Coturnix japonica: one gene and its partners. The protein of the gene in region 2 interacts with the protein of the main gene of each other region in a pairwise test. Links are inferred from orthologs where the notes say so. Each region holds a gene or a part of one and is shown on either strand. Other genes may lie near its edges.

Region 1 (3,043 bases), on a different chromosome or scaffold from region 2:
TGGGTCACTACTCTCTGTGTGAGAAACTTTCTTCTAATATCTGACCCAAACCTCCCCATCTCAATTTAAAACCATTCCCCCTTGTCCTACAACCATCCACCCTCATAAACAGTTGTTTCCCTTCCTATTTCTACCCTCCCTTCAAATACTGGAAGGCGACAATGAGTTCTCCCCGGAGCCTTTTCTTCTCCAAGCTAAACAAGCCCAATTCCCCCAACCTTTCTTCATAGGAGAGGTGCTCCACCCCTATGATCATCTTAGTGACCCTCTTATGGACCCATTCCAAGAGTTCCACAGCTTTCTTGTGATGACGGCTCCAGGTCTGGGCACAGTACTGCAGATGGGGCATCACAAGAGCTGAGCAGAGGGGGACGATCACCTCCCTCTCCCTGATGGCCACCCCTTTTTAATGCAGCCCAGCACACCATTGGCCTTCCAGGCTGCAAGCACACACTGCTGGTTCACATCCAGCTTCTCATCCACCAGGACCCCCAAGTCCTTCTCCAAGTCATGCATCAGAGGAACTGACTATATGAAGAAAAGAATGTAGCTGGTCCTGTACTTCTTGGTACACAGCTTTCCCAACACAAGTAGGAGACATGATAAAAGTTGGTTCCAAACCTAAAAAGTGCTGTTTACAGACAAAACACTCATATTGTTCTATTGTCATTCACATATACACCATTAACAACTGTCAGAAAAGTGCAAGTCTTCCATGGCCTTTAACCCAAAGGACTCATGCTGAGCTCATTGCATTCTGACGCCTTGTATGTTTTCACTCCAAGTTCTCTATTCTTTGCTGCAAGGGGCATGAAAACCGTCCATATACACGATTTCCCACATTGTTTATTATTTCCTACATATCCTCAGCACTAACTTCCTTGCAATAAACTTATAAGCAATTCTCTTTCAACTGGCGCCCAGTGAGTTTTACTGTCAGAAAGAAAAAAAAAAGCTTTATTTTAACGTTATCTCTGTTCCCCAGCCAACACATGAGGACAAACACATCCATTATAAATTATCACAGAAACAAATACGAGTGCACTTCAGATAAACATTTATTAAGAAGAATCGTAATTGCTGCTCTTATCCTATCCATCCATAAAGGTAGGGATGTGAGGGGGGACATTCTGGATCTGCAGAAGACACGGTGTGAGGCAGCCGGGGGCTGAGGGAGAGGTGGACAGGGAAGGGGAGGAGAGGGATGGAGGGGCAAAGGCCTAACAGAGCAGAGCGGCGGCACAGTGCTGCGCTGCCACCCCCCGGCCACCACAGACGACACAACCAGAGGTGGTATACGACCATTGGCTGGAGCAATGAGGAGGGCGGCCATTCCAACTAATAAGATTGAGCCCACAACCCCTTTTCCCTTCGCGCTCCGTGGCTCCGTAGCCAATCGCGAAGGCGGCGCGGCGGGGTGAGAGGTTGGAGGTCGGCGCGGCGGCACGGAAGTGGAAGTGGAAGGTATCTCAGCGCTGCCTTCCATTCTGCCTCAGCCCGCGGCGCGCACGAGGCGATCCCGCCTGGCTCTGCGCTTCTCGGGCCGCCATCGCGCCCCATCGCCATGGTGAGGGCAGGGCAGGGCAGGGTGGGGGGAGGCTGTCGTTAGCGGTTGGGATGGCGGGCGGTGCTGACCATTGCTCTCCCCTAGAGCCTGCCGCTCAACCCGAAGCCCTTCCTCAACGGGCTGACGGGGAAACCGGTGATGGTGAAGCTGAAGTGGGGGATGGAGTACAAGGGATACCTCGTCTCCGTCGACGGCTACATGAACATGCAGGTGAGGGATGGAGGGAGGGACCCGGGCCTTGCTTGCTTGTGGGAGGGAAGCAGTAGTGAGGCTCCTGTTGGTGTAATGTTTGTGCTGATTTTCGTTCCAAGCTTGCAAACACAGAAGAGTACATCGATGGAGCACTGTCTGGACACCTGGGAGAAGTTTTGATAAGGTAATCGTGGTGCCTGAGCTGGGGAACGGGGTCTTGTGGGGACTTCTGTGTCTTGTGTTACTGCTTTGTTGAAGCTGGTGGATCTAGGGGATGTGCTTGTGTTTTAAGTTGAAAGAGGGAAGATTTAGGTTGGATGTTAGGGGAAAGTTCTTTACTAGAAGAGTGGTTAGGTCCTGGAACAGGCTGCCCAGTGAGGTTGTGGATGCCCCGTCCTTGGAGGTGTTCAAGACCAGGTTGGACGGGGCCCTGGGCAACCTGATCTAGTAAATGTGTATGTTTGGTGGCCCTGCCAGACAGGGGGGTTGGAACTACATGATCCTTGAGGTCCCTTCCAACCTGGGTAATTCTGTGATTCTGTGTGATTCTGTGTATTGGAGCACTAAATGCTGCTGTAACTCCCATGTGAAGTGAACATTGTATTTGCGAGGGAAATTAAGACATTTCAACTAAGGGAGCTCTTGATTCTATTTACAGGTGCAATAATGTTTTGTACATCAGAGGTGTGGAAGAAGAGGAAGAAGATGGAGAAATGAGAGAATGATGATTTGTATATCTGGAAATAAAGGGTTTTTTTTCTTTTTTTTTTTTTCTTTTCCACAACGTTGTCATCAGGTGTTTATTTTGTTCTTGTATTTGACTATGGGGGGAGTTCACCCAGAGGCTATAAAGAGTCATGAATTTCAGTGGCATTCATAGAGCTAAAACAGCCTGTGGAATGGGAATGCCTGATCTCAATCTGCAGTATTATGGAAAGAACACACAAAACACTAACAACAGGCCACTCTTTGTTATCAGGCATCCAGATAACTGAAGTTTTGGCAGGAACATAATTGCTTTCTCAAATGTTAAGAGCAACCATTGACATTAACCGAAGCTGTTCTGTACCTATCAGCATTTCCTAAAGGTAACCATTGCTTTGCTGATGCTGCTAGTCAGAGCCTCCCCTTGTGAAGGATCTACTTGCATCTCTAGGCTGGAGAGAGGTTCTACAAGCCAAAACACAAATGGCTGTACCTCATGGATTTGTGTGTGACTTTGCGCTGTCTCATCAGTGACCATTTGTCTTACATCTATTCTCAAATACACAGGTATACTTTCAG
Region 2 (2,529 bases):
TCTCCCACACAGTCATGCAGCAGCTTGACTCTGGTCCTCTCCCTTGTCTCTTAAGAGCAGCCTCCCTCAGCAGAGCTGACTCACCCAGGTGTGGCACAATGGCCAGGTCAGCCCTGATCAATGAGCAGTACAACACAGGCATGGGCTCAGATGCAGAGCACGGGCAGAATCTGTATCCAGCTCCACCTTGTGGGGCACAGCCATGGAAAAGAAGTGTGAGAGAGCAGGGACAATCAGAATGTCAACTTTGGCTTAGTTTTTCTTTCATACTCCAAACCCCACCTCCATCACCACATATTACAGTAACAGATGCAGACAAAACAGGCATTTCTTGGAGCTGATCTCTATTTCAAAGGCTCCTCCTGTTGGAATAAAATGTGAACACTGCTATGGGTACAAGACCCCAGAAAACTTTGCCAGCTTCTTTCCCTTCTTAAATACCCTGAAACAAATATGACTACAACAGCTCCACCCCTACACAGCTGTGAGAAAACTTCATGCAAAACAAAATAAAACAGAAACCAATACCAACAAAAACAACAGAATATTAAAAAGAAAAAAAGAAAAGAAAGAAAAAAACAAAAACAAGAAAATTATCCTCCAAACAGAAACACCCCTCCCTGGCTACACAGGTCTGGAACTTTCAGTGTTTCCTCATCATCCCTGTGCAAGGGATGGGCTTTGCCTAGACACAATCCAGCACAGAGTCACCAGCAATTCTCCACTCCAGCAGATTCCCAAGGTGCCAGACCCAGTCCTGTCCCAACTTGCAGGCAGTGTGCAGAAGATGTGGGTTCCTCTCTTGGTCACCCCGTGAGTGAAAGGACGGGGAGGCCCTGCCTTGATGCTGGTCTGCCCAGGACCATCTGGATGCAGAGAAGGCATTACATGGCAGCCAGTGCTTGCTAAGTAATTACAGTTTCTGCAGACCTGGGAAACATTCCCAGGGTTACTGCTGTCTTTGCTTAACCTATGGAAGCAAAGAGGGCAAAAAAACAACCACAAAATCCATATCAGCACTCCTGTAAGGTTACTATCTACTTCTACACAGACACTGCTTTGTCATTCAGCACAGGGCTATGCATGCTCCTAACTAACTACGGGGGCTCAAAGGACACTATGAGAGAGACATGATTTTTCAGGTTTCTGCAGTGTCTCCCTCAGGCCTTGCTTGATTCCTACAACTAGACAACATCTACGGTAACCCACAGACTTCCCACAGGCCCCACAGGGCACTGGTCCCAGCATGCTCCAAATGCCTCCTGTTCTCATTTAATCTGGCTAAGCGTGGCAAGCTGGGACCTGTACCCTTCAAAAGGAACACTGCTCATCTGACACAGAGCAGGACATCTCTGTGGACTGTTTCCCTATAAAAGAGAGGGGGAAAAAAAGAACCCAAACAAGAGCAACTGTGATTTGCTCCATTTAATTTCAATTAACTACAGCCCTTAGAGGCCAGGAGAGATGCCAATCTAGCAGTTGGTTGGCCATCCCCTTGGGCATGTCCCATTTCTCAAATGCCCCTTTCCCAACCAGGCCTTTGCTCTCAGCTTAAAGAAGTTTTAAGAATTCATTAAATCCCACTGTGTTAAGCTAATAAGAGCTTTAAAACCTGCAGTTCTTTTTCCTCTGGAGGCTGGAACTGAACAGCACTTGGGCAGGCAAGCACCCTGCTCTGCAGTGGTGACTCCGCTACCTCTGTAAGCTCCTGACAGCAACCAGTGTTGTTGCATCCTGTTAGAAAGACATGATGTAGTTAGGGCTGGAAAAGGAGCTAGTGAACTCCTCAAAGTGCTGATACCTCTTTTCCCTCCCTAAGTCGGGAAACAAGCAGCTTATTTTGCAAAAGGCAAGTGGTTCCCTAAAAAAACTACTGAAAAAAAAAAAATAAATGCAAAGGCTGCTCAGCCCCTTCCCCTAGAAAACTGTAAAAATGTTGGAGACACAGTGAGACACAGTGTGGCAGCAGGGAGGCTGGGAAGGCAGCAGAGGGACAGCTGCTGTCTCTGGACCGTGCCACAGCCATGACAAGGTCCAGAGAAGCCTGACTGTGACTTGTAGATGCTTCCTGTGGAGGATACAGGAGCTCAGGCCCTCTCTGCTCTCCAGCTCGTTGTTCAGTGGGCAGTAAGTGGCTGCGGCTGGTCACCACACTGTCCAGGCAGCTGCTGGTACGTTGGCATATCCTGCCCAAACAGACCTCAAGGCTGTTCTGTGATCAAAATTGCTGTCAGTGACCAGTCCCAGGTCAGGCTCCCCTCCTCCGGAGGTGTCTCCTCTGAGCATGCTGCTGCTCAGTTGCTCTCCACCAGCTTGGCTAGTCCTTGCCGGATCTCACTGAGCTCAAAAATCTTCACGTCCATTATCTCTGCCACCTTGGTGACCTCATTCTGGATCTTCTCCCTCTCAGACAGGGTCTCTGCCAGCGTCTGCTCGGCCAGGTGAAGGCGGCGCTCCAGCTCTGCATTGCGTGCCTCCAGCTCCTGCCAAAGGACACAATTGCAGTGAGGTGGCTGCCCCGGCACTGAT
Region 3 (3,500 bases), on a different chromosome or scaffold from region 2:
ATTTATAATTTATATCTCCAGCTTCTTTCTGCTCATTGAGTCAGCAGGAAGGTAGTGTGCATTTACTAAAATCTGCATCAGAGAAGAGCTGACCAGGAACCTCCTGTGGGAGCAGAGGCAGTCACAGAAGTTCTAAACAGTCTTAGCAGTACTCTGTAGCACTGCTCTGTGCCCCCCAACAAACGTGAGATGACTCCTGCAGCCAGGCAGCCATGTGCCAGCCTCTGCAAGTGCACTGAGGTGCAACTTCATTGTGTCATGGGGACCATTTGCACCTCAGCTCCTCCAGCTCCACAAAGAAAGCCATCAGGCACTGAGAGTCATGAGGTGCAACTCTTAAAAGTTACAAACAGTGATTGTCAGAGGACAAAACATGTGATGAAACAACCTGATGGAGGCAACGCTATTTTCAGTCTCATTTGGAATCTGTGTCTAGCAGGTAATGATGGTTAGTCACACTGCAGCAACTGCCTCCTGTATAACAACTGTCAGATCAGCCTTCTATTAAAGTAATTAGTATTTTGCTGTGTTTGTGCCTTCCAACACGTAGAAGGCCAGGCTTTCCACTCATGACAACACTGCCATTAACGCACGCTGGATGACTCAGGAAGGTGAATGTTGTCACCTGACAGGAGCTGGGTAGAAAAGGTCCCTGTCAGTACAGAACCTGGTGGGCAGCCCTGTTTTTGTTACAGCAACTACACAAAACCTGCCCAGATCTGTGAGTTAGCTGGGAATGCACAGTAATGTTCCTTGAGTCACAGTGGTGCCCACAAGCCCTCATTTTTCAACTGCAGGATCCCTTGTACCCAACAGCCCCATTCCCCAACCCCGTACCTGCTCGGCTGGGAGGATCCCTGATGGGCGGTGGGGGCCTCTCGCTGGGTGGCGGTGGCAGGGGGCCGGAGCGGCCACCCCCAGAGCTGGGTGCAGCAGGGGGCACCAGGGACAGGTTCCTCTGGGGCAGTCGTGGCATTTCATCACTGCTGGCAGGACCAGGGGGCACAGGGGGTGGTCCTGGCCTGCTGGGGGGTGGCGGGGGAGCAGGGACACCAAGGGGTGGCCGCGGTGAAGCGGGTACAGGTGGCTTGTTGTTCTGCGGTGGTGGCGGCGGCAGGGCCATGTCCCGGCTGGAAGTTGGTCGGTGCCCGGAAGGAGGTGGTGGTGGTGGTGGTTTCTCATCCAACGGTGAGCGACCGGGTGTGGGTGGCAGTGGTGGTCTGCCCGAGTAGGGGGCTGCTGGGCCTGGGCCAGACTGCCGCAGGGAGCCAGCTGACCCTGTGCCCCGGCTGCCTGGGAATGGTGGTGGTGTTGGCCCCAAGCTGGGCTGACGGTTGAGAACTGGTGCTGAATTCCGTCCGTGCAGACTGGAGGCAATGGGCCGGGGTGTGCTGGGCACTGGTGGTGGTGTGGCTTCAGGTTTAGAACCCACGTCAGGCCTGGGTGGCGGCAGGCGGCTCCTCTGAGGGTCAGCAGCTGGGTTCCGCTGCCCCAGTGGCGGCCCTGGGAAGCGAGGTGGGCCACTTGGTGCTGAGAATGGCTTGGCAGCAGCAGAGCGGGCTCCAGGTGGCAGTGCAGGTGGGCGGGCTGTCCCAGCATCTGTGCAGGAAGAGAGACAGACAGAGGGCATCAGCACCCATGGAGAGGACTTTCCTCACACAGCAACACAGCTGCCCAAGTGTTTGGGGATGCTCCACAGGAACAGTCAGCAGCAATCTCAGTGTTACTTGGGATCTGCATCACAGTAGTTAAGTTTTGCCAGCTCATGAGGAATGGCCTGTGGGGGACCCAAGTGACTGCAAGGCAACATGAGTATACAGCCTTCACAGAGCAAGCAATAATGTCAGGAAGGAAGAGAAGAACTGGTTATGAGCAACTATTTGATACCAGAAACCCAAAAACAAGAAGAGCTGTAGCTTTGAAATGGCATTTAACAACAACAACTGTCCAGCAAAAGGGCTTTGCAGCCCTTTCTAGTATCTGTGAACTACTTGTGTTCTTGTGTATGTCAGCAAGAAGGCAGCCAGCCTTGCAGTTGAAGAAACACTGTCCCGTTGTGCCAGGAACTTTTGCATTAATACAAGTTCCCAAAATAGACCATGACACAATAGAAAATACCAGCTCCGAGAGACTGTTTTGTACAAATGTGCTGAAAAATTACGTTAGTCCATAAAATATGCAGGATTTGTAATATTTTATGACCCCTGTTGTCCAGTCCTCCTTCAACAAGTGTGAAATGCTACATCCTGATCTCCTTTGTTTGAAGGGGCAGCTGTTTTGCCAGCTAGAAGAACGCAGTGTGTGCCCTCCAACTGCAGCACGCGCAGCATCCAGCTGGGATGCCTCATGCACTCCCTAAGTGGTAAATCACACTCCTGAGGAGCTGACGCAGATGTACTTTCCAAATGGAAAGTTGATCTTTTTCCTGGTACAGAAGGAAGAAATAATCCATATTCCTCTTGTGCTCCTCTCTGGTCCTGCACACCCACAGCTAAGGCAGGACCTCATCCTACTTCACAGGCAGCCACTCAACACTGCCAAGATCTTTAGTTTTCATCAATAATTAGGAGGAGTGGAAAGTGGGGGTCTCACTTCCTCTTCATAAAACCTAGTATTAAGAATGAAACAAGATTCAAGATGAAAATTTCATTTCTTGATAGCCTAAGATATCTGAAGGCATTCTCAATCCCAGCAGGTAATTTATTGTTGTGGTATGTAATTAATATAAGTAATGTGTCATTTACTTGTTTGCACTGAAATTGCAAGATCTTTCTTACCAGCATCTCGACTCGCAGCAGATCTGAGCTTTGGCATTCCTGCTTGAAAAAGTCCTCCAAGACCAGGTGGTCCACCACCACTGAAGCCACCACCACCGCTACCAGCACCAAAACCCCCACCGCTGCCACCGCCACCTCCTCCAAAGCCACCGCCACTTCCACCGCTTCCCTTGGGTTCTGTTGGAAAAAAAAACAAAACCATGTTATGCAGAGAAGCGAGGCTGATCCTACGAAGTATTCTCTTTCATTACAGCAACTTTTGTAAGTGGAGAAAAAAGGTCACAGCCACCACTACCACTATTGTGCCATGGAAGAGGTGGAGCAATAAACACAGCTATTGAATTTTATTAAGCCATCACTTTCCTTTTGGCTGCTCAGGACTGGAAAGCAGAGAAACAGTCACTCTGGAGAATTTGGAACTGAAAAATGGATGGAACCTCTGAGAATATCATGTTGTCTTTGTTAACATCTGTGTAGCTGCTTTCCATTTCTTCATACTATTGCTCTCTTATCCTTCACCTTCATTACTCCATAAGCCAAGCGAAGGACAGTAAATAAGGAAAATGAAGAATGAGGGAGGAAGATAGAGGTGTTCTTTCCCTTGGGGGCACCTCTGATGAGTGCATGGAAGAGATTTAATTACTGATGACCTTCCTCTATGCTCACAAATGCAGAGAGATGATCATTAGCTGCCATTTTTTTTTTTTTTTTCCCAACATAAAG
Region 4 (3,200 bases), on a different chromosome or scaffold from region 2:
AATGGAACAGAGGCAGAAAATAAGCTGTGTAATTGATAAAGATCATTAGATAGCCAAGTTCATTACTCACAGTCAGTAAATTCAGTCATGTGTCTTTCCAAGTAAGTTCGTGCTGACTGCGAACGAGCACCAATGGACATGGCTTTACAGTCAAAATAGTTTGCTGAGGGACAAGTCTGGAAGATGTGAGGGCCCATATCCTACAGGAAGAAAAAACATAAAACAAACACGTAAACTCCTGTAGGAACACACGATATTTTCTAAAACAGTTTTGCTCATAATACATTACATAGTTTATATGCATGCAAGTAAGCATCCTACATTGCTTACTATACCACCATTCCTATCCAGCTCTTGCAAAGCTATTGTTAAAAAAAAAATAAAAACAAACGCAGTGTTTGTAAAGAACAGTTTTTACTTACATCATAACCTGCAATGAGCAGTCCTACACCATATGGTCTTCTGCCATAGCGCTGCGTTGGTATCTGCGTTTCTAAAGTAAGCTAAAGAAGCAATCTCAAAGGCACGTGTTAATCACACTGAAAACATTTTCCTGAGCAATGCGCAAACACTCCAAAATTGTTGCGTAGCCTTTACAAAGCTTTCTGTGCTATCAAAGGCCGTGTTTGAAGAAATAGTCCTCGGGACTTATTTGGAACACCAGAGCTGGCTCTTTTTCACCAAAACATTTAGGAGCTGGCTTTCCCAGAAGAACTGAGCAGTGCATTCAACCAAGTAATACAAACAGTTCAGTTAATGCAGCCTCATTTAATTTCTTAGCCCTTTAACTTTACCTAGGCACCTGATAACAGAACACAAGGCCTCCTCTGTGCTCCAAGCACAGAGAACATTAATTACCACAAAAAAAAAAAGTAAGCAAGCAGCTGCAGTCCAGCAAATGATCATGTTTTGTGCAGTGCAGTCATATTTCCACCTCCAAAAACATGGTGCTATGTAACAAAAAACCAGCAGTGAGTGAAATGGTTCATAGCATTTTACTGCCTTTATACCAGTACGGAGTTCTGGGATGTCCTCTGAAAGAATTAACACACAATGTGAATGAAGAAAAATCACCTCTTTAATTAACTTTTTCAGTTTAGCATTACTTTTAAATTATGATATATATAATATATATTTTAAAGGATACTGCTTCCAATTAGTGACACCAAACGAGATACTGGAAGAGGTCTATCAAACACAAATCTAGAATCCAGACACTCCTGACGCATAAAATTGCTAGAAGGAAAAGGAAGAAAAATCAAATCAGTGTATAGACAAAAGCCACACTGAGTTTTCCTCGGTATTTGCCTGTTAAGTGTATTCTTGTTCCAGCTCCGCTTGTTGAGAAAAGCAGCCGAGGGCATTACACAATTTCATTTCATTGTGACTTATAACTGTTATTTAGGAGGCTGACGACAGGCTTGAAAGAGTCTCAGAGCATTTCACCCATACCAGCCAAGGGAAGGTGGAAGTGTACCAGGCCACATGTTAAGTCTCTGGGAAAAAACCCACAGTTAAACAGTAACGTATCTTTGTCATCTTACAGCAAATAAATTTTACTTCAAAAATTCTACTTATTAAATTTTACTTTAAAAATTCTTCCTATTCCATCTTTGTGTTTTCCTGCATAACCAGGGAATCATCTTCTTTTTAGTATATATTACCTTCTTTGATCAAGCCATGTGTGGTCTGCAGGTAAAAGGGAAATCTGCCTGAAGCTGGTACGTTCAGCAGTGTGTTTTTCATAACAGAAGCAGCTACTAGAGGGAAATAGGTAATGCACTTGTCCAGACTGCTTGAAAGCCCCACCACACCAAGGAAACCAGACAGTTACGGTCTCACAAGTAACAAAAGCAAAGAGCGAATTTCGGGGCCAAACAAAGGAGTTTTCTGCCAGCAACTTAAATTCCTTCCAAAATTTCATATTGAGGTCTTTGGCAAAGCACAACAGACCAAGGCCAAACTTTAGATGAACACAAAATTTTGTTTGCAGTAGTCTACATGTGAACTTTCACTTCTTGCAGAACCGTGTGTGTCAACAGCTAAGATACTCACCACAAGAGTCTTGCATCAGCTGTAAGTCCAGCAATTGAGATACCGATATGGTTGTCAACATACAGGATTTTCTTCTGATGAGCTGCCAGCTCAGACTGCGCTCGCTACACACAAAAGGAGAGAACTATGTGGCAGACTGACCACTTTGCCAAGCACTGTGGAGCAATCTGCTAACATTTATTGCAAGAACCGAATATGATCACAAAACAGTCAAAACATCAGCAATAGACAACAAACAAACAAAGAACGATCTGTAAACTTGCAACAGAAGACAAGAAAAAAAATAATTCCACTTCAGTGAGAGACTGTCAGGAACAATGATCAGATGCCCAAGGTTTCCAAGGTTTGGAAAAGGAAGTGAGTAGTTTTGCTGCTTGTAAAGGTGGTAACAGAGGATGATTTAAAGGTGGCTAATATAAATATATTGACCAAGATGGTGATAAATAGCCAAAGGTTATCAGTAAAGAAAACTCACCAATGTCAATGCCTGGACCAGATAGCTGAGGCAGTCTCCACTGGGGAGCGATCTCCAAGAGATGCTCCTCAGTGGTGGTCAGCCCTTAAATGAGGTCTCAGAGGAGGTGGAGTCAAAGTCCACCCCTTCCAGGAGTACAGCTACATTACGCTCACCTGTGCTCCCGCAGCTGACCCAACACTTGCCTCAGCTGATTAATCAGTGGTTCAAGCTGTGATTTCCCATATACTGCTTTATAACAAAAAAACACAACAACTCTATCTTTTAAAGTGAAAATCTTTCACTCCTTTCCTTCACCCATTTTGAGAAAATCTGCTTAGCATGGGTACTGAAAATGCTTATATTTCTTTACTGACACTAATGGAAAAGGAAACTGATACTGCATTTATTTTATGCACAGATAAAAGTTCAGGACTTTGCTGAACTAATTTGCCAGACTAAAACTTCTCCACTAACACTGGTGTTTGCAGAACAGAGTTTTAACCTTACCTTTAGAGCAACCAGAACAGCATGTGTTTTTGACTTCAGCCCCACAGTGGCTGAGCCTTGCTTCACAGCTTCCATGGCATATTCTATTTGATGAATTCGCCCCTACAGAATAAAATCAAAGGTAGTCATTCTGAAAAATAGTACAGGTGATTAATTTTAACAGCTTTTCATTTACAGACTT
Region 5 (3,500 bases), on a different chromosome or scaffold from region 2:
AAATCCCACAAAAATACCCGATTTTAATAAACAGTAAAACTGTTGAATTTATTCTTAACTTCAAAATATTCTCGTCTCCTACATTCTTCCTCAAGGAAAACTCATTGGAAAAATCTTTCCAGATTGAGAGACTTGCTGATAATGAAACACTAATGATTTGAATGTCATGCCCACAACTAGTAAGATATTTATCTCTTTCCTAAAACATCATATTTAAATCCAATTCAACAGAAGCATGAACTGAAACGTGTGATGCACAAGAAAAATCAGCACTTTTTAGAAGCAGGAGGCCATCATAAAGTCATTTTATAGAGCATCTGCGAACTTGCTGGCGCTGAAAAAAAATCATGCTGTTTGCAGATTTGAACATTCTATCATATTTTGACTGTTTTCTAGCTTACCTGAGCTAGACTGTTTAAATATAGATACCACATGCTTTAAAAATACAGTTAACTGTTCAGCACTCTTTATATTGGGGTTCTTAGCCGAAACATCTTCATGATTCCAAAGTGGCCCTCTTTTCCTAAAAACATAAAAACAGAGCAAATGTGACAGAATGAAAACCATGGCCTTTGTCACTGGTATTAAATGTTATTTTTGCCTTAAGTAACTGCAAAATAATCTACTGCCTATCACATAAACAAAGCCACTCAGAATTACAGACACAAATCAAAGAACTTTGACAACAGCTTAATATCTCTACAACAACACACAGAAAAGTAGGAAAACAGTGAAAAGCAATGGATCAATTGTAACTGAACAATGTAAATCTAAAGAGATGCTCTCCATTAGGTGATATTTAGTTACCTAACAAAAAGCCAGTTACTGCTACCACTATTATATAACTGTTAAAACCACATTCTTTCATACCTTTTTCTTCCCAGCAATAAACCACACTATTCTAACTTCATGGCCATGAAAATCTTGTTTCTGTTGTTGGCAAGTTTCTCTTAACTTCTGATTAAGCAAGCTGGGTTTCAGACTTAGATGATTTTGAAAGCTTTATATACGCTATCATATAAACTAAACAAGTGCTGCTTTTTTTTTTCTACAGATGTTATTTGCCACTAATGTCTTCCCCCCCCCGCACATGTTCCCAGCTGTTTTCTGTAAGTCAATCCATAACCTTCCCACAAATCTTGCAGCTTTCTAATAATTTTCTGTATTTTTTCTCTAGGTTGGAAGAAACTATGAGGAAGGCAATGACAGTGAACCTATGCTGAACATGGTAAAAGACTTTTAAACACTCAGGACAAGAAAAGGGGCCAAATTCATTTAGATAATTGGAGATGTAGGGTTGTTCACACACTACACCACATAGAAACACTTCAGGGTCAGATTTGATTTTCATACTGATACAACATTTCTCTAAACAAAAATGGAAATGAATATCTTACCTTGAGGTAATGAATTCTATGAGAGTTTTTACTTTTTCATCCTGCTCTACTGAAATGTCAACCTCATTGAGGATGGTGGTGTGCATATGAGACATGGCAGCACTCGTATTTCCTAAACTGATGCTAGAAGAGGTAGAACTTGAACTAAGCCCTGAGTCAGTCATTGGGGAGGGCTGGTAATCAGGTATAAAATCATGAACACCTGCTGAAATAAAAATGAGACCATTATCAGTTCAACAGTTCAATACTAAATAAATAAAATGAAAAATGAGCCCTCTAAAAATTAGTAAATTAACAAATATAATGAGAATAATTTCATGGATGCAATAATTTCAAATGAAATCAAAGCCTGAGCATGACTGAACCCTTAATAAGGAACAGTTAGATTCTCCCTTTTGAATCACTGGACGCTGTTTGATTTTTGTATTGTTAATACAGTGAAACTACAGCTCAACAGCCTCTGAAGCACCTCATCATAGAGGAAGTTGAGACAAGTGATCCAAACTGCTTACAAATAACACGCAGATCTTTTCTTTTTTGATTAAAACTCAGTCCTACTGTAACTACCAGCACTTTAAGTCAGCAAACAAGAAGTTTTAACTAGTGAATCAGTTCCAAGTAGGGCCTTTCTAGCTGCACAGCTTCTGAAGTTAGCTTAATACAGTTCCTGTTCTCCATGAAAAGAACCACACAGCCATGAAAGAGAACTGTACCATCTCCTCGCATTATGCCTACATTGACAAGCTGCTAGGAGAAAGCAAACTGACAAAAGAAGACAGTCATGAATCTCTGACTGCAATAAACTTGAAACCCACAGACAAACACCTGTGAACAGGTTTATATAAAATAATTCCCTGAGTGTGCCCACTTTTTAATTCCCCGTAACTGTGAATTATCAGATGCAGAAAACAGATGCCTATTTTTGGTCACAAACAAAACCACTTCTGATTTCAGAATGGAACCAGCAGATTTTATAGCAATGTGCTGCCACCTACTGAATTCATATGAAATACTCTTTTCTTTAGAAAATACATTAGGCTTACACCTATTATTTTCACAGTTACACAAAAAAACCCATATTATTTATTGCATAATGATATTGTGATGCTTAAGTAGACCTCACAAGAATACTGTGCTAGGTTATTAAACAAGCACAAAAGACTGAAGTCAACAGTTCAAAGTTCTTATGCCCAAGAAAGAGATGCTTTTTCCTGTTTAGTTTTGTTTTTTGTTTTTTAATTATTTTATAAACAACTTAAAAACTGTGCTGTTACAGACCCAAAGCATAGAATTTCCTCTGTTTTTTTTTTAATTATTAATTAATTGCTCAACTGAGCTCACTACTCTGACAACGGGGCACAAAGTGTGAATGTGAACATTACTCATTCGGTCTTAAAATACTTTTTAGCCAGCTAAGCGGAGCTGAAATAAAATGTACTTTGCTAACAAGGGCTCTGAAAAATAGTAAAGTAAAAGAGATAAAGCCTAGAATTAAACTTCTGCCATTTTAAGAAGTCCAAAAGCATACCTGTAAAAGTATAATCTAAGTGTGTAGTTTGCTTGACAGTAAGCATCCTGGATTCATTGAACTCTCTGTTTCTGAGTAGGACAGAAGCAACAGATTGGACATTACTGCCGGATCCCATCACTATCAGCAGATGCAAAAGCAGTCGTTTACAATGCTCATAAACTTCAGGGTGACAGTGGTCAAAACCTAACACAGATTAAAAAAAACAAAAACAAAACCAAAACCAAAAAAAGTTGTATTAAATGCAGAGAACAAGAGAACACATTTGATTATTACAAAAATAGCACATCTTCCAATTGTTATACTTTATCAGATTGACACATAGGGAAATAATTAACTGCACACATGATTCCTGCTAGATACAGAAGCTATTTCTCCCATACATAGATGTTTTTTTCAGTGTTCAAATATAAAAACAAAGCACACAGTTTAACAAACACGAATATATCCTCATTTCTTACACAGCAGTCAGAAATTAATATGCTCTCTGTATGAAAATTACAGAAAGGAAACAGAAGGAAAAAATAAGCAGAATTTCACTTTGTCTTCTACAAGAAGGCAAAGGGAAAGGTGAA
Region 6 (3,500 bases), on a different chromosome or scaffold from region 2:
AACAACTTCATGACCAACACAGATCAAACATCCATCCAGTCTACATTGTTCTTTTTTTTGTTTTGTTTTGTTTTCATTATAACATACAAATGCCCATTTACAAATAATACACCAAAATGAATAAAAGTTTGGATACCAAAATGAAGATTTGTTCCAACCGATATAATGCCTTCAGTGTACAAAGGTCCATGTTAGAGTCTTTTCCATGTGTTACATCGTAGGGCACAGTTGCAGTACAGAAGTACTCTGAGAGCCATTCTTCCTTTAGAAAATACTGCTGAACATCCAACTGTTGTCCATATAGTCATTTACAGAATTAACACATGTTTTACTGTAATCTTGGCCAGTACTGAGACATATCAGGTTCACTGCCAGGAACTTGAACTGGAACTGACACTCCAGGGGAAATGAGACCTGAAAATTGAGTGGGAAAATGGATATTTTAGCTTTTCTATAGATAGCACAATATTTGCTCACCCATTTCAGTTTCGTATGATGCCTTGTATCCACCAGCCTGCAGGAATGGGCTGGGGGAGGATACGCTTTCAAAGCCTATGTGCATATATTCGAGCTGTTATGAATAAACTGTCATATTTGAGGTAAGTGGCAGAGCCCCAGCTCTATGCTATCCACTGGGAACTCAGCCTAAAATACACTGAACATTCCTATTTTTTTAAATGTCCCTCTGTTGCTCCCGGTGATACTGACAACCTTTTACCCTGTTGTGCCTTATTAGCACGGGTCAGTGCTCCCAGAGTTACCTGCCTCTTAGATAACAGAGCCCTGGCAAGCAGCATCCTTTGGTGTAGACGCAGCAGTGACATGCTCAGCCCCGTGCACACTTCACTTTGCAGCAAGCATGGCTGTGCCAGTGCCTAGCACCACAGTGAATGCTGCTGTGCTCAGCCACAACGAGGTCTGCAAAAGGCTAGTGAGCTCCCTCAGAAGCCTCACCCCACCCAGCTGTGGGCATGGCCTCATTAACCCAGTGCCTCCCACCCCCTCCCCAGCTGAGCCCGCTTGCTCACCTGTGGAAGTGGTGCCAGAGGTGCCCATGGGCTGGCTATTCATGTGTGTCTGCATGTGCGGAGGGGTGTAGGTGTCATAGCTCCGGCCGTTCACTGACGGGCTGGTGGGCAGCATGCAAGAGTAGGAGGAGGTCTGGCTGGGTACCGGGGGCTGCAAAGATAGAGCAACGTTAGGTGTGGGGACAGCCCTGGGGCTCAGCGTCTTGGCATACCCGCACACATCCCCTCCACCCAAAGGTGCCAGTGGCACAACACGGCCACAGAGACCTGCTCACACCACACCTCCACCCAGAGGTGGCTGTCAGGCAGCCACGGGAGCAGGGAAGGCCCAGCAGGGCCACAGCCCTGCCTACAGCCCTCTTTGATCCTTTGTCGGCTGCGCTGCCCGCCTCCAATATCGTGAAATAAGGGCTTAACCGGCGCAATTCCTTTCCCTGAACTTGAGAGACTCTAACTTTATTTGGTTAATTTTGGTTCAGCAATTAGTAACATGGTAATTGCCGCGGCGAAGGAGTCAGGCTCTCTAATCGGCTCGCCCGTCTCCAGCAGTGGTCAATGCTGCATGCCTCAGACAAAGCTGCACAGCTCCCGTAATTGGCCAGCACCTTCCTAGGCCAACCCCACCATTAAAAAAGGAGGAATTTTGCATCTGAAAGGTCTATAGAAACGGACCCCAAAGGAATAGATTTCTTCCTCACCCAGCTGGTGATCAGCTAATGCTTTCAGGCATGAGGATTGACAGCTCTTGCAATTCTGGCTTAGCTGGCAGAACCACTGATGCTAATCGCACCCTCCCCTCACTCAGGTGTCCCTCACGCGCTTCCCTCCTGCAGCGGAGCACTCCAACAGCACTCCGACAGCACACAGCCCCGTTGCCATGCCTTAATCTCAGGGTGGGCATTCTTATCTGAAATGGGGTTCCTCACACCGGACCTGCTGCCTCACAATTGTAAGGTTGGAAGAGACCACTAAGACCATCTAGTCCAACCCTCAAGCCATCCAACCATCAACCGTTTTGAGGACCCTTCCCTTCTGAAATCCCAGAGCAGCGCTCATCCGAGCACCATGCCCTTTCTGCAATGCTGTGCTTACTTGCATAGGCAGGTTGTTGGCCATGGTGAAACTGGGCATGGGCGGCAGCGCGCTGTACGTGTTTGTGAGCGCCGTGTCTGTCCTGCCCAACATGGAACCTGATGTGAAAGAGGAAACTATAATAGAATAGACAGATAGATGGAGACATTAGTTTAACCACAATTGCGCTCGGTGGCACAGTCCCACGGTCTCGGTGTCCCGAGGATGGCTTCACGCGGGCGGGTTGGCTGCATTACCGGGGGTGGTCGGCTGTGGGATCGGCTGGTAAACGCTTGTGCTGAAACTACTGCTGATGGGGATGTGGCTGGGAGTGTTGCTGGCTTGTCTCCGCTGATTCCGCAGCTTCTCCTCCCTTCTCCACTTGGCCCTTCTGTTAGAAAACCACACCTGGAAGCACAGCGTTTGAGGCGTGAGTGGCCCGGTGGGGCGAGGGCATGTGGCTCCCCAGGGCACCCAGCACAGAGCTGCCCCACAGCACAGCAAAGCCAACCCCATCTGCTGCTACTTCCTGATGGAGGAGATGGGCAAACACCCAGCCTAACACCTGGCTTCAGGAAGCCACTCATAACAAATTACGCTGGTAAAAGGAAGAATGATAACAGTGGTAACAATGTGGCATCTCTGTACCTGTATCCTTGCTTCAGGCAAGTCTATTTTAGCAGCTAGTCGCTCTCTCGCAAACACATCGGGATAGTGGGTCCTCTCAAACTCTGCAAGGAGAAGTATTGCCATGTGAGTTGTAGAGAACAAGTGTGGCTGATGGTCAAGTCCAGCCCTGTGGCACAGCCGCACCGACTGTGCCTGCAAGAATCAGTGCTGTGAGGCAGCGCTGAGCTCCCTGAATAAATGTGTGCTGGGAAGGACCCCAGGTTGTGGGCCATGGCAGGGCTGGGGCTGAGCATGATATTCTTACCCCTGTGAGGAGCTCCCATGGTACCCTGACCCCATGACCAAGAAGCCGAGTGGCACGTGGCTGCATGATGGCAGGAAATCTGGGCAGTGAGCCGGCCACGGCTGGGGAAAAGGGCACTGGCTGCCAGCCTTGGGCAGCAGCAGCACTGGGGATGGGGAGCAAGCATGGTGCTGGCACTCAGCACCCAGTCCTACCTGTACCCAGTGCCTTGTCCTACCAGCATCCAGTACCCTGCTATGCTGGTACTCAGTTCCCTGCCCCACCACCACCCAGCAGGAGGAGGTCAGCCAGGAGTGCAGCACTGCACTGAGCCCTGCGCTGCCCTTTCTGTTCTCCGCAGCCATCGATGGGGGTCGGAATGAAATGGCATGGAAGGAGCCAGGGGCCTCAGAGCTGTCGGTATCTCTATAAGGCACGTGAATGCCAGGAATCTGCTCAGCTCCTAATGTAGCCAGGGTGTCTCTTGC
Region 7 (3,986 bases), on a different chromosome or scaffold from region 2:
TTTGGAGGCGCAAACGATCCCTACAATGACAAATAGGTGAAAAGCCATTACAACAAGTTCTCAACACAAGAAGCTCCCTGCCACGACTCCCACACTTCCAAATAATCACCAGAGGAACAACGTTTGCAGGCTGAGAATTTGGCTATCCAAACAACTGAAGTGTTAAGAGCTTTGTTCTGCACTCTGAACACCCTTTATATGTTTTTATCCTTAATGACCACAACACAGTTTCCAGGAAGAGCACATCCTGCTTTAAGTTGTCACACTTACCTCCTAAACTTGACTCAAAACATCTCCTAGATTCTTAAATAGCTGCCTGAAATCCATGCTTGTAACTACTGGGCGCATCAGCAAACATTAAAATACCCTGAAATGCTTTGCTAGGAACTTTGGTGGGTTCTGTTACAGTAACTTAAATTACTCGTTAACAGTATGTTCACACACTCCAAGTACAGAATGCTTGTATGTGAAGCCCGCACCTCTCTTTCTGCTTGGCACTCTTTGGCAGCGTCTGCATGCTGAACTGCAGCATGTTCCGGCGGTCCTTGTCTCTCCGAAGGTTCCTCTGTGGGAATGCAGCAAAGAATAAAAGGACAGATTAGTGGCAAAGTAATTCTGTATTGCTCAATCTCTTTTTTTGAGCCTGTTTCTGAAAGTAAAGCTTTACCTGTGCAAATCGCATGCGATTCCTCTGGTATGCAGTTTTCTGTGTCCGGGCTGTATCCACCAACTGGAAGCTGGTCTCATCCTCCTCATGGAAATACGCATATTGACTTCCACCACCAAACTGTGATGAGTACTTGTCTGGAAATAAAATAAATCATTTTGCTATGAAGCTTGGAAGCAAAAATATGACACTCCACCCGCCCCCCCAGTTTTCCTCAGTAGCCTTTACTCAAGTCTAATGCATCAACTAGGACTCCTGCATTAGACTGTCACATTGCCTCCCTGCTCTGAACCTCCCAGAGAAGCACCAGTCAGCACATGGAACAAACCCACAAGGGAACCCTAAGGGCAGGGAGAGCCCCACGCAGCTCTCCAAGCGGTGAGACACGCTTCTGAAATTAAAGAGCCTCCTCTGCTGAGGTGTGTATGTAGCCGGTAGAGCCAGTGGGAAACACGAAAGCAGGGATGACGTTTGAAGTAAGCTTTGCACAAAATAAATAGCAGGAACAGCCATTGGACAACACGTACTTGTGTATCTCTTATCCTGATACGTGGCTCCTGTCCAATCTGCCACCTAAGGACAAAAATATACAGTAAAAAAAAAAAGCAAGTGTTAATATGATGTGTGTGTCGTCCCCCCCCCCAGTAGGGCCTCAAAAGGCAAAATAAGGGACTGCTGTATGCACCTCAACTCCCACCTCCATAAGCAAGCCTCACAGAATGCTCACAACTGTCAAGGTGCTGGAGAACCATATAATGTCATATCTCAGAATGGCTCAGGTTGGAAGGAATCTTAAAGAATATCTAAATCCTGCCCCCCACCAGCTCATTCACCGGCTTTAAGCTGCAGGTGTATGGGCACCACAGCTCTCTGGGCAGTCTGTGCCAGCGCCTCAGCGTCCTCTAAACAAAGAATCACAGAATGACCCGGGTTGGAAGGGACCTCAAGGATCATGTAGTTCCAACCTGCCTGGCAGGCGCCAAACATACACCTTACTAGATCAGGTTGCGGGCCCGTCCAACCTGGTCTGAACACCTCAAGGACGGGCATTCACAACTCCCTGGGCAGCCGTGTCCAGGGCCTAACCACTTTCCTAGTGAAGATTCCCCTAAAATCCAACCTAATCTTCCCTCCTTCAACTTAAAACCATTTCCCCTAGTCCTGCTATTATCAGCCTTTTGAAGAGTTTACTCCCTCCTGGGAGTAGTTCCTTCAGTACTGAAAGGCTGCAATGAGGTCACCCGCAACCTTCTCTTCTCTAGGCGAACACCAACTCCCTCAGCTGTTCCTCATAGGGGAGTGCTCCAGCCCCTGATCATCTTCGTGGCCTCCTCTGGACCCTTTCCAAAATTCCATGTTTTTTGTACTGAGGGCTCCACACCTGGACACAGTATCCAGATGGGCTCACAAAGCAGAGTAGAGAGGACGATCTCCCTATCCTGCTGACCACCTCTCCTGATGGAGCCCAGGATCCATTTGCTTTCCGGGCTGCCAGAGCGCACTGCTGGCTCATGTTGAGTCTTTCGCACACCAAGACCCCCAGGTCTTTCTCTGCCGAGCAAAAAAAGAGACCCCTCCCAACGTCTAACCCAGCTCCCCACTCTGGTAGCTCAGCAGAGGCACAGGGGTGCACCCAGCAGCCACACAGCGCAGTACCTTGCCCAGGCGGTCCCCCTTGCTGAAGGGCTGGTAGGGCATATCCTTGAACTGCTCGGGCACGGCGCACGGGCCCCAACCCGAGGGGTTGTCCTGGATCACGGGGGTCACGAACTTCGCCATGGCTCACAGCCCTGCGGGGAACAAGCGGAACGTTCCTTCAGCACCCGCCCCGTCGGCGCCACCGTGAGGGGAAGGGGCACCGAGGGAGCCCGGAGCGGGCGCAGGAAGGCGGGGGCGCCGGCCCGGCCCCACCGGAACCGGCGGTAACGCCTGGGCGGGGCCGGGGGTCGCGCTGCCCGCGGGCCGGTCCCGGTAGGACGGCGGAGCGTGACGGGGCGGCCGCGGCGTCCCCTCACCTGAGCGGCCGCGTTACGGCCCCGATGGCGACGGATACGACAGCGGCGGCGACGGCCGGCGAGGAAAGGCCGCGCGCAGCCCCGTCCCGCCCTTATTGCGTCAGCACTGCGCGACGGCGCCGCCGCGCACCACCGTCGTAAAAGAGAGAGAGCGAGGGGGCGGAGCGCGACTGCCGTAAAGCGCGGATCTCCCGTTAGGCGCAATGCGCCCCGTGACGTCACCGCCGGCATCGGGCTGTACGTGGTGGGGTGTGACGTCACCACGGCTTTTACTTACCCGGGGGGTAGGGAGGGGGCAGGGTGGGTTCGTCGCGTGCCTTACATAGGATCATTAAGGCTGGAAAAGACCTCTAGGATCACCCGGTCCAACCATCAGCCCATCCCCACCATCCCCATGACCACGTCCCTCAGTGCCACATCCACACGGCTCTGAACACCTCCAGGGACGGTGACTGCACCACCTGCCTGGGCAGCCTGTGCCACTGCAGCACCTTCCTCATATCTCAATCTTTCCTCATATCCAACCTGACCCTCCCCTGAGGCCATTCCCTCTCACCCTATAACTGTTACCTGTGAGCAGAGGCCGACCCCCACCTCACCACAACCTGTTTGCAGAACGTCCCTGGGTATCTTGCACCATCTGAGTCTAGATCAATATTTTGCAGGCAGAGCACCGTGCATTTCCTCCTTTATTTACTGCGTTTAAACCCTCCTCGAGAAATAACCGAAGCAGTCTGCTTTGCCAGGAGGCTGCGCCATTAATCAGAAGTCGGATTATTAAAGCAGTTTTCCCCGCTAGCAAAAAGAGAAATCCACTTACAGAAACACGGTTTATAAAATACCATTTGTAACTCTCACAGGCAAACAGCCTTTGTGGTGACAAACGTCAGTGCTGGAACAGCCCTGGATATCACAGACTCAACCTGAGCATAGCCACGTTCAAGTCATGCTTAGGAAACGTAAAAGGAAGTCCCAAAGAGCAAACGGAATGAAGAAAGAGAAAACAACTAGACTGATAAACCTAGACTCTGCATTCCCCCTGCTTGCCTGTTCCCTTACAGTCCTGTGTGAGGTGCTGAAAGGCAAGTGTAGCGCTGCTGCTGCCTGCTGAAGAGTGCTGGCACTTCGGGCCCAGCCCCTCAGGCTGCCTCGTCTGGGAATGGAGCTGGGTATTAGTGTGTCTCAGAGGGGAAAGCAAGCACAGGGAATGGCCATCAGAGAACAAATGCTCTTTTAGGCACATCATAACCTACCGGTTTCTTATCAAGAGGAGAAACTTCAGCTGCAAGAAAAATCCAGCCTTG

Evidence for each region.
Region 1: the proteins of HOMER3 (region 2) and SNRPF interact in binary tests that used the Homo sapiens proteins (3 or more experiments, as listed by UniProt). The two-hybrid records come from large-scale screens. The link is inferred for Coturnix japonica from reciprocal best matches to the Homo sapiens genes HOMER3 and SNRPF.
Region 3: the proteins of HOMER3 (region 2) and WIPF1 interact in binary tests that used the Homo sapiens proteins (3 or more experiments, as listed by UniProt). The two-hybrid records come from large-scale screens. The link is inferred for Coturnix japonica from reciprocal best matches to the Homo sapiens genes HOMER3 and WIPF1.
Region 4: the proteins of HOMER3 (region 2) and PSMA1 interact in binary tests that used the Homo sapiens proteins (3 or more experiments, as listed by UniProt). The two-hybrid records come from large-scale screens. The link is inferred for Coturnix japonica from reciprocal best matches to the Homo sapiens genes HOMER3 and PSMA1.
Region 5: the proteins of HOMER3 (region 2) and FRYL interact in binary tests that used the Homo sapiens proteins (3 or more experiments, as listed by UniProt). The two-hybrid records come from large-scale screens. The link is inferred for Coturnix japonica from reciprocal best matches to the Homo sapiens genes HOMER3 and FRYL.
Region 6: the proteins of HOMER3 (region 2) and PAX6 interact in binary tests that used the Homo sapiens proteins (3 or more experiments, as listed by UniProt). The link is inferred for Coturnix japonica from reciprocal best matches to the Homo sapiens genes HOMER3 and PAX6.
Region 7: the proteins of HOMER3 (region 2) and EIF3D interact in binary tests that used the Homo sapiens proteins (3 or more experiments, as listed by UniProt). The two-hybrid records come from large-scale screens. The link is inferred for Coturnix japonica from reciprocal best matches to the Homo sapiens genes HOMER3 and EIF3D.

Annotation. Positions count from the first base shown.
Region 1 is NC_029516.1:41,569,987-41,573,029, forward strand, and holds SNRPF (small nuclear ribonucleoprotein F), read left to right. Parts: upstream 1-1,410; 5' UTR 1,411-1,564; coding exon 1,565-1,567; intron 1,568-1,651; coding exon 1,652-1,777; intron 1,778-1,878; coding exon 1,879-1,943; intron 1,944-2,417; coding exon 2,418-2,484; 3' UTR 2,485-2,543; downstream 2,544-3,043. UniProt on the Homo sapiens protein: Plays a role in pre-mRNA splicing as a core component of the spliceosomal U1, U2, U4 and U5 small nuclear ribonucleoproteins (snRNPs), the building blocks of the spliceosome.
Region 2 is NC_029543.1:2,761,741-2,764,269, reverse strand, and holds part of HOMER3 (homer protein homolog 3), read right to left. Parts: intron 2,484-2,529; coding exon 2,295-2,483; 3' UTR 1-2,294. UniProt on the Homo sapiens protein: Postsynaptic density scaffolding protein. Binds and cross-links cytoplasmic regions of GRM1, GRM5, ITPR1, DNM3, RYR1, RYR2, SHANK1 and SHANK3.
Region 3 is NC_029522.1:15,023,208-15,026,707, reverse strand, and holds part of WIPF1 (WAS/WASL-interacting protein family member 1), read right to left. Parts: intron 2,955-3,500; coding exon 2,778-2,954; intron 1,600-2,777; coding exon 838-1,599; intron 1-837. UniProt on the Homo sapiens protein: Plays a role in the reorganization of the actin cytoskeleton. Contributes with NCK1 and GRB2 in the recruitment and activation of WASL.
Region 4 is NC_029520.1:14,583,674-14,586,873, forward strand, and holds part of PSMA1 (proteasome subunit alpha type-1), read right to left. Parts: intron 3,122-3,200; coding exon 3,020-3,121; intron 2,160-3,019; coding exon 2,056-2,159; intron 1,237-2,055; coding exon 1,148-1,236; intron 494-1,147; coding exon 423-493; intron 201-422; coding exon 71-200; intron 1-70. UniProt on the Homo sapiens protein: Component of the 20S core proteasome complex involved in the proteolytic degradation of most intracellular proteins. This complex plays numerous essential roles within the cell by associating with different regulatory particles.
Region 5 is NC_029519.1:59,904,090-59,907,589, reverse strand, and holds part of FRYL (protein furry homolog-like), read right to left. Parts: intron 3,112-3,500; coding exon 2,926-3,111; intron 1,603-2,925; coding exon 1,398-1,602; intron 1,229-1,397; exon of another isoform or gene 1,178-1,228; intron 524-1,177; coding exon 402-523; intron 1-401. UniProt on the Homo sapiens protein: Plays a key role in maintaining the integrity of polarized cell extensions during morphogenesis, regulates the actin cytoskeleton and plays a key role in patterning sensory neuron dendritic fields by promoting avoidance between homologous dendrites as well as by limiting dendritic branching.
Region 6 is NC_029520.1:4,663,366-4,666,865, reverse strand, and holds part of PAX6 (paired box protein Pax-6), read right to left. Parts: intron 2,831-3,500; coding exon 2,748-2,830; intron 2,508-2,747; coding exon 2,357-2,507; intron 2,237-2,356; coding exon 2,121-2,236; intron 1,180-2,120; coding exon 1,029-1,179; intron 415-1,028; coding exon 329-414; 3' UTR 1-328. UniProt on the Homo sapiens protein: Transcription factor with important functions in the development of the eye, nose, central nervous system and pancreas. Required for the differentiation of pancreatic islet alpha cells.
Region 7 is NC_029516.1:47,223,708-47,227,693, reverse strand, and holds the start of EIF3D (eukaryotic translation initiation factor 3 subunit D), read right to left. Parts: upstream 2,801-3,986; 5' UTR 2,683-2,800; intron 2,458-2,682; 5' UTR 2,447-2,457; coding exon 2,324-2,446; intron 1,241-2,323; coding exon 1,195-1,240; intron 805-1,194; coding exon 668-804; intron 566-667; coding exon 480-565; intron 21-479; coding exon 1-20. UniProt on the Homo sapiens protein: mRNA cap-binding component of the eukaryotic translation initiation factor 3 (eIF-3) complex, a complex required for several steps in the initiation of protein synthesis of a specialized repertoire of mRNAs.